Saccharomyces cerevisiae S288C: one gene and its partner. The gene in region 1 interacts genetically with each later gene. Each region holds a gene or a part of one and is shown on either strand. Other genes may lie near its edges.

Region 1 (4,359 bases):
TCAAAGATACTCGATAAACAGCAACCAATGTTTCACAGAGTGCCATGGTAAAGAAACACCAAAATAGTAAAATGGGTAATACAAATCACTTTGGACATCTCAAAAGTTTTGTGGGAGGTAACGTGGTTGCCCTTGGTGCTGGAACACCTTATCTTTTCTCATTTTATGCTCCTCAGCTACTGAGCAAGTGCCACATACCTGTTTCTGCCTCAAGTAAGCTATCCTTCTCTTTAACAATAGGAAGCTCACTGATGGGAATTTTAGCAGGAATAGTTGTCGATCGAAGTCCTAAACTGTCCTGTCTAATTGGTTCAATGTGTGTTTTCATCGCGTATTTGATTTTGAATTTATGCTATAAGCACGAATGGTCTAGTACTTTTCTCATATCGTTAAGTTTGGTACTCATTGGATATGGTTCTGTCTCAGGTTTTTACGCTTCTGTGAAATGTGCAAATACAAATTTTCCTCAACACAGGGGTACAGCTGGGGCATTTCCTGTGTCCCTATACGGTTTATCGGGCATGGTGTTCTCATATCTTTGCTCAAAGCTTTTTGGTGAGAACATCGAGCATGTCTTCATTTTCTTGATGGTTGCGTGTGGTTGCATGATTTTAGTAGGCTATTTCTCATTAGATATATTCTCTAATGCAGAAGGAGATGATGCTAGCATTAAGGAATGGGAGCTTCAAAAAAGCAGGGAAACAGACGATAATATAGTACCGTTATATGAGAACAGTAATGACTATATAGGTTCACCTGTGCGTTCATCATCCCCTGCTACCTATGAAACTTATGCATTGTCAGACAATTTTCAGGAAACGTCAGAATTTTTTGCACTTGAGGATAGACAGTTATCAAATCGACCATTGTTATCACCTTCTTCCCCACACACAAAGTATGATTTCGAGGATGAGAATACCAGCAAAAATACAGTGGGCGAGAATAGCGCACAGAAAAGTATGAGATTACATGTATTCCAAAGCTTAAAATCTTCAACATTTATTGGTTACTACATAGTATTGGGTATACTACAAGGCGTGGGTTTAATGTACATATATTCTGTGGGGTTTATGGTACAAGCCCAGGTTTCTACTCCACCCTTAAATCAATTACCAATTAATGCAGAAAAAATTCAATCATTACAAGTAACTCTCCTGTCTCTTCTTTCATTTTGCGGCAGATTATCATCTGGGCCTATATCAGATTTTTTGGTCAAGAAATTCAAAGCTCAAAGACTATGGAATATTGTCATAGCATCGCTTTTGGTATTTCTTGCATCGAATAAAATATCCCATGACTTCAGCAGCATTGAAGATCCTTCTTTAAGAGCCTCCAAATCATTCAAGAATATTTCGGTATGCTCAGCGATCTTCGGTTATTCTTTTGGCGTTCTATTTGGTACTTTCCCCTCCATAGTAGCAGATAGATTTGGCACAAATGGGTATAGTACGCTGTGGGGTGTTTTAACGACTGGTGGTGTATTTTCAGTGAGTGTTTTTACCGATATATTAGGTAGAGATTTCAAGGCAAATACAGGAGATGATGATGGGAACTGTAAAAAGGGAGTGCTTTGCTACAGCTATACTTTTATGGTTACGAAATATTGTGCCGCTTTTAATCTTTTGTTCGTTTTGGGGATAATTGGATATACGTACTATCGAAGAAGAGCAACTGCAAATTCCCTGTAGACGGTGTCATCCTGACATTGCTTTCATATTCTTTTTCACCATCACAAATGAACATTTTAAGAAATATTACTATATACTGGTATATATTCAACATTTTACAACGGACTACCCGTGAAATATTTCCTCAGGGTACTTGAATTCAACGTGCAAGTTTTCAGCAAACTTTATGTCAGAATCACTGAAGTCCTTTTTCCTCCCAGCAGCGTCACCGCAATAATATATCCAATTCAACTTGATGGGAGAAATTTGTTCTGAAACCCTGTATGCACTTTCCAGGTCCCTTTTAAAAAACTCTACCATTCCTGTCATTGGTTTTCGAACTTTTTCGAATATGTTAGGATCATTGTTATAACTTTCACCTAAGCTTGCGAATGTGATCTTACTATGATTTGCTGCAAAAGTTTTCGGCCTTTTAGGTGCTGCATATAGCCATAACCTGTGTGATAACGTTTCTCCTCTCTCATCGTTTTTGATTGCCTTTAAAAATAGCAAAATTTTATTAGTGTACTTGGTGCAACTTTTAGAAGTTCTTGGGACGGTGATGACACCACCTTGGTTAGAAAATATGACTATGACGGCCGTGGGATCATTATCAATGATATTACACAGGTAATCCAGGGTGGATTTCTTGGAGTTAAAATTAATAAACTGCCAATCACTTGCGCTTCTACTAAAACTTATATTGGGGGACTTTGGTTTGATAATTGTATGGTCCAGATCAAAGGCATAAACGTTTAGACCATGCTCGTCGTGATCAATGGATTGTGGAAACTTGGGCGTGAACTTAATCAGAAATGGCAGGATTGTTAATTTGTGGGACATGGGCTTTCCTTCGGTTCAGTTTTCTATGTTATCCATCTGATTTTGGGATGATTTTACAGATTAAAATCGATTTAAAGCCATACGCAAAAGAGGGGAAACGAAAGAAACGCACAGAATTCATTCACATAGATGAAGGGAACAGAAAATGAGAATGTTATATGACAGATAAGCAGCATATTCAGGACATATATCCAGATATATATACATATAAGCTATTAACAAGGAGAAGAAACCAAAAAAAAAAAAAAAAGAAAACATCCTCAGATGATATCAGCTTTACCTACAGTTTCGTAATATTTACAGACGTCAGAGCCACTCAATTTCCTCGGAACAAAGATTTTAGACACTATAGAAACCTCATTTTCAAATCTTGTTGCATCAGCAATCGAATGAGGAAAGTTCACAACTACTAGCTTGTCACCGGTCTTGAAGTTCTCTTTGAAATATCTACCCAAAAGCATGACCAACATACCGGTCGGCAAATTGTAAGCGTACGTGTCACACCCGTATTTTTTGTAGTATTCATTTAATAAAGCCTCATATCTATCATCCCTCAAGGTTCTGTAGTAATCGATGACCTTGACTGGATCGACAAACTGCAGCTCATTTATATCATCGCCTTGTGATTTCTGCAGTACCTTTCTAGTTTCTTCAATGCTGGGTGATAAGGAAAACTTTATATCGACCTCACCTTGTGGGAAGATAGCCACACGTCTTTTCAACCCTTTAACCACATTTTCGAATTCTTCTTCTGATAATGTTGTCTTCGGTTTGTTCTTATCTAAAGACTGTACTGTCTTGACAAATATCACTGTACCGATAATAGCAACAAGGAAAATTTTCTTAAATCCTGGAGCATCTATTTTATCTGATTTGTTAGACCTTTTAGTTGAGCTATCAGTTGATGAGTATCGTGCTCTCAAGAGCAATGGTGAAAATAAGGGTAATTGCTTTTGAGGCAACCCACCGCACACCTTGAAACAATGTCGGCAGCTTGCTAGAACGCTTTTTCTCAGTGGTCGCAACATGTAGGTAGTCTATTTATCTGGGCTCGTTATGTATTAATCTTCCTATGGGGATTCATTCATTTTAGCTTTACCGGCAGTCCTTACAAACCGCTTTTTGAAATTAAATCGACAAACTGAGGAAGAAGAACGGAAAAACAGAAGAAAGCCAAAGGCAAAGAAGCGACCACATACACCTTTTTTTCGATCTAAACTAATCGCCCAAAATGTCGTTGGTCAAACTTGCGAATACGTGTGCTCATTTACAGAACTGCTCGAAAGTTAGAGTTGCCTTAACATCGATCCCATATACGAAATTGCAGCTACAGTTTGCGTATAACCTTTACCAACAAGGGTTCTTATCGTCTTTACAGAAGGGATCGACTATGGGACCAGACAAAGATTTTGTTGAAGTAACACCAGACAATATCTCTACTAGAAGGCTTTGGGTTGGATTGAAGTATAGAGATAACAAACCTGTCCTCAGCAGCTGCAAATTAATTTCCAAACCAAATTCAAGAATACACCTGCCAATGGAAGACATGAAGAAACTATGCTCTGGCGTAACTATTAGAAACATCAAACCACTACAACCAGGAGAACTGATTCTAGTTCGAGCTCATAACAACATTATGGACATTAATGAAGCCATATCCAAAAAGTTGGATGGAGAAGTACTATGCAGAGTAAAATGAATAGAACAATCACATATGACCGTATTTATACGTGTAATTAAAAAATATACGGACCATGTAAATAATAATATTATAAAATGCAGACAATGATGATGAGTATAGTACTACAGTAACGTCCTTCATTCATTACCTTTACTAGCAGTGATAAAA
Region 2 (7,610 bases), on another chromosome or scaffold:
CTTGGACCGAATATCAGCTAGAAACTACTATCTACCCAAATGAAGTAATGAATACAACGCCCGACGGATCTGGAGCTAAATTTATTCTAAATGGGTTTACTTTGGCGCATATGGATGGTACAACGAATTTCATCTATGCAATTGATTTTTCAACAGCCTTTAATGATAAGACATGCGAAGAAAATGATTTCGAGGATTGGAATTTAGCTGAGGGGAAGTGTGTCAATGGAGTCAAGTACAAGATCAGAAGAAGAAAACAGGACGCTCAGTGCTTGGTGAAGAAAGTTTTTGAAGACTTACAATTATTTGAGACTGCTTGTGACAAGTGTACCGAGGCTGATTACGAATGCGCGTTTGAATTTGTTAGGGACGCGACCGGGAAATGCGTACCAGACTACAACCTAATCGTTCTCTCTGACGTATGTGATAAGACAAAGAAAAAAACTGTGCCTGTAAAACCATTGCAACTAGTTAAAGGTGATAAATGTAAAAAACCAATGACAGTCAAATCAGTGGATATTTCGTGTGAGGGAGTTCCAAAGAAGGGAACGAATGATAAAGAAATAGTGGTTACAGAAAACAAATTTGATTTCAAGATTCAATTCTATCAATACTTTGACACAGTCACCGACGAATCCCTCCTCATGATCAATTCAAGAGGAGAAGCTTATATATCTCATGATGGTGGACAAACAATAAAAAGGTTCGACAGTAATGGTGAAACAATTATTGAAGTTGTGTTTAATCCATACTACAATTCTTCAGCTTATCTGTTTGGTTCCAAAGGTAGCATTTTCTCTACCCATGATAGGGGATACTCTTTTATGACTGCTAAATTGCCCGAGGCTAGGCAGTTAGGTATGCCATTAGACTTTAACGCTAAGGCACAGGATACATTTATCTATTATGGTGGTAAGAATTGTGAGTCAATCTTAAGTCCGGAATGTCATGCGGTAGCATACCTGACCAATGATGGGGGCGAAACGTTTACGGAAATGCTTGATAATGCAATTCATTGTGAGTTTGCGGGCTCACTTTTCAAATATCCGTCAAATGAGGATATGGTTATGTGTCAAGTGAAGGAAAAGTCTTCGCAGACAAGAAGCTTAGTTTCTTCTACTGATTTTTTCCAGGATGATAAAAATACCGTCTTTGAAAATATTATCGGCTACTTATCCACTGGTGGCTATATCATCGTTGCTGTTCCTCATGAGAACAACGAATTGAGAGCATACGTAACTATCGATGGTACTGAGTTTGCCGAGGCAAAATTCCCATATGATGAAGATGTTGGGAAGCAAGAGGCATTCACTATATTAGAGTCTGAGAAAGGATCGATATTCTTACATTTAGCAACAAACTTAGTACCAGGACGCGATTTTGGCAATCTTTTGAAATCCAACTCAAATGGTACTTCTTTTGTCACGTTGGAGCATGCCGTTAATAGAAACACATTCGGCTATGTTGACTTTGAAAAAATTCAAGGTCTCGAAGGCATTATTCTCACCAACATCGTTTCAAATAGTGACAAGGTCGCCGAGAATAAAGAAGACAAACAATTGAAGACGAAGATCACCTTTAATGAAGGTTCAGATTGGAACTTTTTGAAACCTCCGAAGAGGGATTCAGAAGGAAAAAAGTTTTCTTGCAGCTCCAAATCACTGGATGAGTGTTCATTGCACTTACATGGCTATACTGAACGTAAGGATATTAGAGATACATATTCTTCCGGTTCTGCATTAGGAATGATGTTCGGCGTTGGCAACGTTGGTCCTAACCTTTTACCATATAAAGAATGTTCCACCTTCTTCACCACCGATGGTGGCGAAACGTGGGCTGAAGTTAAGAAGACTCCTCACCAATGGGAATACGGTGACCACGGTGGGATTTTAGTTTTAGTTCCTGAAAACTCAGAAACTGATTCTATTTCCTATTCTACCGATTTTGGTAAAACATGGAAAGATTATAAATTCTGCGCTGATAAGGTTTTAGTAAAGGATATAACCACTGTTCCCAGGGATTCTGCTTTGAGATTTTTGCTGTTTGGAGAGGCAGCAGATATTGGAGGCAGCTCATTTAGAACGTACACAATTGATTTTAGAAACATCTTCGAAAGACAATGTGATTTCGACATCACTGGTAAGGAAAGCGCAGATTATAAATACTCTCCTCTGGGTTCCAAAAGCAATTGCCTATTTGGTCACCAAACCGAGTTTTTACGTAAAACCGATGAAAATTGTTTTATTGGGAATATTCCACTTTCTGAATTTTCAAGAAATATCAAAAACTGTTCTTGTACAAGACAAGATTTCGAGTGTGATTACAACTTTTACAAAGCTAACGATGGTACTTGTAAATTAGTCAAAGGACTAAGCCCAGCAAATGCTGCAGACGTTTGTAAAAAAGAGCCAGATTTAATCGAATATTTTGAATCGTCAGGCTACAGAAAGATCCCTCTATCAACCTGTGAGGGTGGCCTGAAATTGGATGCTCCCTCATCACCACATGCTTGCCCAGGAAAAGAAAAAGAATTCAAGGAAAAGTACTCAGTAAGTGCCGGTCCCTTTGCATTTATTTTCATTTCAATTCTTTTAATAATTTTCTTTGCCGCATGGTTTGTATATGACAGAGGTATCAGAAGAAATGGGGGATTTGCAAGGTTTGGAGAAATTAGGCTAGGTGACGATGGTTTAATAGAAAACAATAATACTGACAGAGTTGTCAATAACATTGTGAAATCAGGATTTTACGTTTTCTCAAATATCGGGTCTCTTTTACAGCACACAAAAACTAATATAGCGCATGCTATCTCCAAAATTAGAGGAAGGTTTGGAAACAGAACAGGTCCAAGCTACTCATCCCTGATCCATGATCAATTTTTGGATGAAGCAGATGACCTGCTTGCTGGCCACGATGAAGACGCCAATGACTTATCCAGTTTCATGGATCAGGGTAGTAATTTTGAAATCGAAGAAGATGATGTTCCAACACTTGAAGAAGAGCATACATCATATACAGATCAACCTACGACCACCGATGTTCCAGATACATTACCAGAAGGAAATGAGGAAAACATCGACAGGCCTGATTCTACAGCGCCATCTAACGAAAACCAGTAGAGAGATTACTTTACATAGAGTAGATAATTCCATATACTTTTCATAAACAAAAACGAGCAGATCCTTTAGACAGAATATCAAGTTCTTTCACAAGCCAAAGAAACTTGGCATGATCAGTACTGGTGCAATTCAAATAACTGCAAGTACTGAATCTCCATCTTCAAAGCAGAACCGTAATAATGCGTACAAGGAAGCGGGTGGGATATATCATATGTTACGGGAAAGTGGTTGTTTGACTGAAGATCATCGAGAACGTCATAACTTCAATACATAAGTCATCGCGTAATTTTACAAGCTTTACTGTTCAGCTTTATAGGATAATCAGAATAAGAAAAGGCAGATAAATAGTTTGATAAATGGCCAGTTGTGATGGGGAAAAAGACTTTTAGAGAATGGCAATATTTCAAGTTATCAATGTATGTATATTTTTGACTTTTTGAGTCTCAACTACCGAAGAGAAATAAACTACTAACGTACTTTAATATTTATAGTACTTCATTCGATCAAGATGTGGACGATGCACATGCTATTGATCAAATGACATGGAGGCAATGGTTAAATAACGCATTGAAACGTAGTTATGGTATTTTTGGTGAAGGTGTAGAATATTCATTCCTGCATGTTGACGATAAGCTGGCTTACATCAGAGTAAATCATGCGGATAAAGATACATTTTCTTCGTCCATCAGTACATACATATCTACTGATGAACTCGTCGGTTCACCATTAACAGTGTCAATTCTACAAGAATCTTCCAGTTTGAGACTTCTGGAGGTTACTGACGATGACCGCCTATGGCTGAAAAAAGTAATGGAAGAAGAAGAACAAGACTGTAAATGTATATAGAATATCAGTTTATTATTTAAAAAAACTTGGGCATAGAAGAAAGTGTTTTATTCTCCCAAAATATCAGCTGACGTTTTCATATTTAAACCCACTGAAAAAACCCACAAGATGATTCTGTATTATTTGAATCACCCCGAGATCTCTTGCAAATCCAGAACTTTCTACCTGGATTGGCCGAAGTTTTCGATGTTTTCAGCATGGATTCCTCCCCATGCCTGCACAGGGGAGGCTTTCCAAAGACATCCTTGAAATTCAACTTTGGCGTGGAGATTCTTTTTTTAGCTTGCTGTGGAATTTCAGAGGATTCTTTAATCCTGTCATCTTTTTCTCCATTTACCTTCTGGAAAAATGAGTCGAGCGATTTGTTTTTGATGTTGCTGTTTTTTTTGGTATTCATGACTTTTGATACACAATATTTTTGTTTATTAGATTCTTTATTCGTATCCTTTTTGGCAAACATCTCTAAAACATTATGGTTTCTTAAATTATATTTGTACCTTGCTTCGAATTTTGGTATGGGAACTTGTGTCGTACCAGGTTCAATTCTGTCGTCCAGTATATCTAAATCAGAATACACAGGACAATGGTCAGAGCCCAATATATCCGGAAGAATGTCAGCTGCTTTTATGCATCGTTCAAGCTTTAAGGACACTAGGATAAAATCTATCCGTGAGCCATAATTCGAAGGTCTTAAATTTTTTAACATATTCCAGACTGTATACATTTTAAGTCGATTTCTTGTTTGAATTAGCCTCGTAGTGTCTATCAGTATCCCCCTTTTACTCGCGTCTGGTAAAAGTGAATCAGCCAATATTTGATTAAATATCCTCCGATGTGGCGTGTCCGGATTGATAATAAATTGGATTGCTTTATCCCTATATTGTGCTTCTAACTTTGTTCCACCCATGGGATCTGTTATTGGAATTGAGAATTGTTCTAATGTATCGGCACTGTCTATAAGATCCCGGCAAACATTTACGTCGCCCATTAGCACAATCTTCTTCCCAATTTTGTCCAAATTCCGAACTCTTCTTAATAAAACTTTCAAGAACCTTAATCTAAACATCTCACCCTCCTCCGATGAGTTCGAATTTGCGGGACAATATACACTGATAATAACTATTCCACATGCCAGTTCAACCATAACACATCTGCCTTCTGAATCTAGTTCCAGTGCACTTTTCTCATCTAAATCGGGATCTAAAGAATCGTAACCACCAATTCCTTGATTTACGTCGTTTCTATAGGAGATTGCTGAATGCTTACCATTTTTTATTGTCAAGTAACCCGTTATACCTTCTTCTGCCTTAACGACTTGTAATGCATGGTATAGTGGGTGGTTCTTTTCCGGAATTCTAATCCAGCAGCCAACGCCAGAATATCCCTTTCTGGTTTGAGGGATAGAAATAAAAGAATAAAAACCATCAACTCTCCCCCACTTAGAGATAGACAATTTTTCCGTCTTGAGCTCTTGGAATGTTATTATGTCTGCTCGAAAAAAGTCGAAAACAGATCTAAGGGATTGATTCATTTGAGAAAATGGTTGATAATGAAAAAAGGTTCTTATACCATTGACATTGAAAGTTAAAAATCGTATTGTGTTCTCTGACTTTCCATCCAGTAACGTGTTTTCGCTTGATGACATAGTGTCCTGACAAGGAAAGGGATTTTCTTTACGGTGAAATAGCTTCTCTCTTGGTTGCCTATCTTTTATTGGGTAATTTTTCAGCACTTTCACATCATATAGTACATACAAACTAACTTTCTGAAGGACTAATAAATAAAAAAAAATGAATGCTTTTTGATAATATACTCACTATATGTTATTTAAGCGCATATTATGTGTCGCCTAAGTTATATAAGAATTTTTGTTTATACATCTTTAGAATTGGAAACCGCCCTCTTGTTAATAAAAGATTGTATGGTTTGGCGCTCCTTGACCAAAATTAACGCTAACAATCCCATTGCGAATAATACGTTAACAACAAATTGTTGTAAATTTTTAACGTACCCAATAAACCACCAGTCAAGTAGACAGATCGTTGAGCCAGCAATAATAACTGTTTTGAAATCCTTAAAATTGAAGAAAAAAGAGGAATCTGTAAACAGTTCCCTATGAAATTTATTCAAGAAAACTCCACAATACAATATTCTCAACACCATGTTAATGATGTTACTCAATATCAAGCCTTCGATTGATAGTTTGAGTTTTTCAATAAGAAGCCAGGAATTGAGCAGGAAAATACCAGAAAAGGCCATCATAAAATATGAATGTTTCAAAATTTGGTCACCAGTGGCTACACTCTGGAAAAAAGCTTCAAAAATACCATTAAGCGATAAAAATGGGATGTAAAAGCAGTAGACTCTTATAGTGTCCAAAACGGAAGTAGTGGACCATTTCGAGCCAATCAAGAACTGCAATAAAAAGGATGAATTGGCAGGCCCAAATACAATGATCATTAACGATAAGTATATGTAAAACCTTGTTAAATTCACCAGGACTTCAATAGATAGTTTTAAATTTTTAGGGTTATGCGAGGATAATAAACGGGCCAAAAATAACCGCAGAGATTCTTCGATCGGCGCAAATAATAATCTTGTTAGTAGCGATCCATAGTTCGACAATAGAGCGTAAATGCCTTGTTCTTCCACAGTACATAAAGAATTGATAATCAACTTATCACCCTCTGTCAACAAATGCTTAAAACATAGTTGAAAATAAACTTTTTTGAAGTGCTGTAAAATGTCGTTTTGGAAAAAATAAGATGTGCTCTTTGGGTAGCCTTTCTTCAATTCGTTATTTTCACGCGTTTTTATCTTCGTTAGCCTGGTACTGAACAATTTCTTTGGTTTGAAATTCTTGAGATAGTCCCAGTAGTAACATGCTAGCAGGGTGATCGAATGTGCTAACTTTCCCAAGGCAAATGCCAATATGGCGATGCCTTCTTTGTCAATGTCCGATGTGACAACCCCCATTGGGTAGCGGGATTGCTGAACGGCATAAACAACTATAAAATTGACAATACATCCTGTAGTCACCGCGATGCTTTCAAATCTTGACCTTGCGGCATAGTTCAACATAAACTGGTTGACGATGAAGAATGGCTCGCTTAACAGCTCCACGATGATACTCAGCCAGATAAGAAAAATCGACCACCTGAAGAATGGAAGAGTGATGAAATACGCGTTGATGTTTCTGTACTGCCAGGCGATAAGACCAATGGACAGTGGAAACCCGATCCAAAACGGAATGTAAGCAAAATTGACTGCGGTTTGCAAAACTTTAGACTTGTAATGAGTTTCCTGGTACTCCTCCTCGTCGTCATCATCGATTATTCCATTACCGGAGTCTGAGATTCTCAACGTCGACAGACGAATCGCATCTCTGCTAAAAAATAACACTGTGCCCTGTATAAATTCTAGAAAGGCCGTGATACCGAAAATTCTGGGCGACAGAAACCTGATCAACAAATTATTTAGTATGAACGTTACCAGTTTGGTGAAAAGTTGGCCCATCATGAGGAAGGTAGCTCCTGTTGTGGACCTTTCCAAGATCTGCTCACTAGTAGAGGGCAATTGTGAGTTTTTTTTCGCCATTTTTTCTTTTCCTTCACTGACAAAAGCAGAATCAACTTCAAATCACCC

What was found. Genes that interact genetically often act in the same process or in processes that back each other up.
Region 2: mutations in TPP1 (region 1) and APN2 impair growth when combined (synthetic growth defect), as found in Saccharomyces cerevisiae (3 studies listed by BioGRID).

The regions. Positions count from the first base shown.
Region 1 is NC_001145.3:568,507-572,865, forward strand, and holds TPP1 (polynucleotide 3'-phosphatase), read right to left. Parts: upstream 2,511-4,359; coding exon 1,794-2,510; downstream 1-1,793. Other genes in the region: YMR155W (uncharacterized protein), read left to right, coding at 45-1,688; AIM36 (Aim36p), read right to left, coding at 2,771-3,538; mitochondrial 37S ribosomal protein uS8m MRPS8, read left to right, coding at 3,742-4,209. UniProt on the Saccharomyces cerevisiae protein: Dephosphorylate DNA's 3'-phosphate termini. Has a role in the repair of breaks in single-stranded DNA.
Region 2 is NC_001134.8:182,353-189,962, reverse strand, and holds APN2 (DNA-(apurinic or apyrimidinic site) lyase APN2), read right to left. Parts: upstream 5,611-7,610; coding exon 4,048-5,610; downstream 1-4,047. Other genes in the region: PEP1 (type I sorting receptor), read left to right, coding at 1-3,119; POP8 (ribonuclease P), read left to right, coding at 3,489-3,535, 3,611-3,965; RFT1 (glycolipid translocation protein), read right to left, coding at 5,838-7,562. UniProt on the Saccharomyces cerevisiae protein: DNA repair enzyme that cleaves apurinic/apyrimidinic (AP) sites and removes 3'-blocking groups present at single strand breaks of damaged DNA.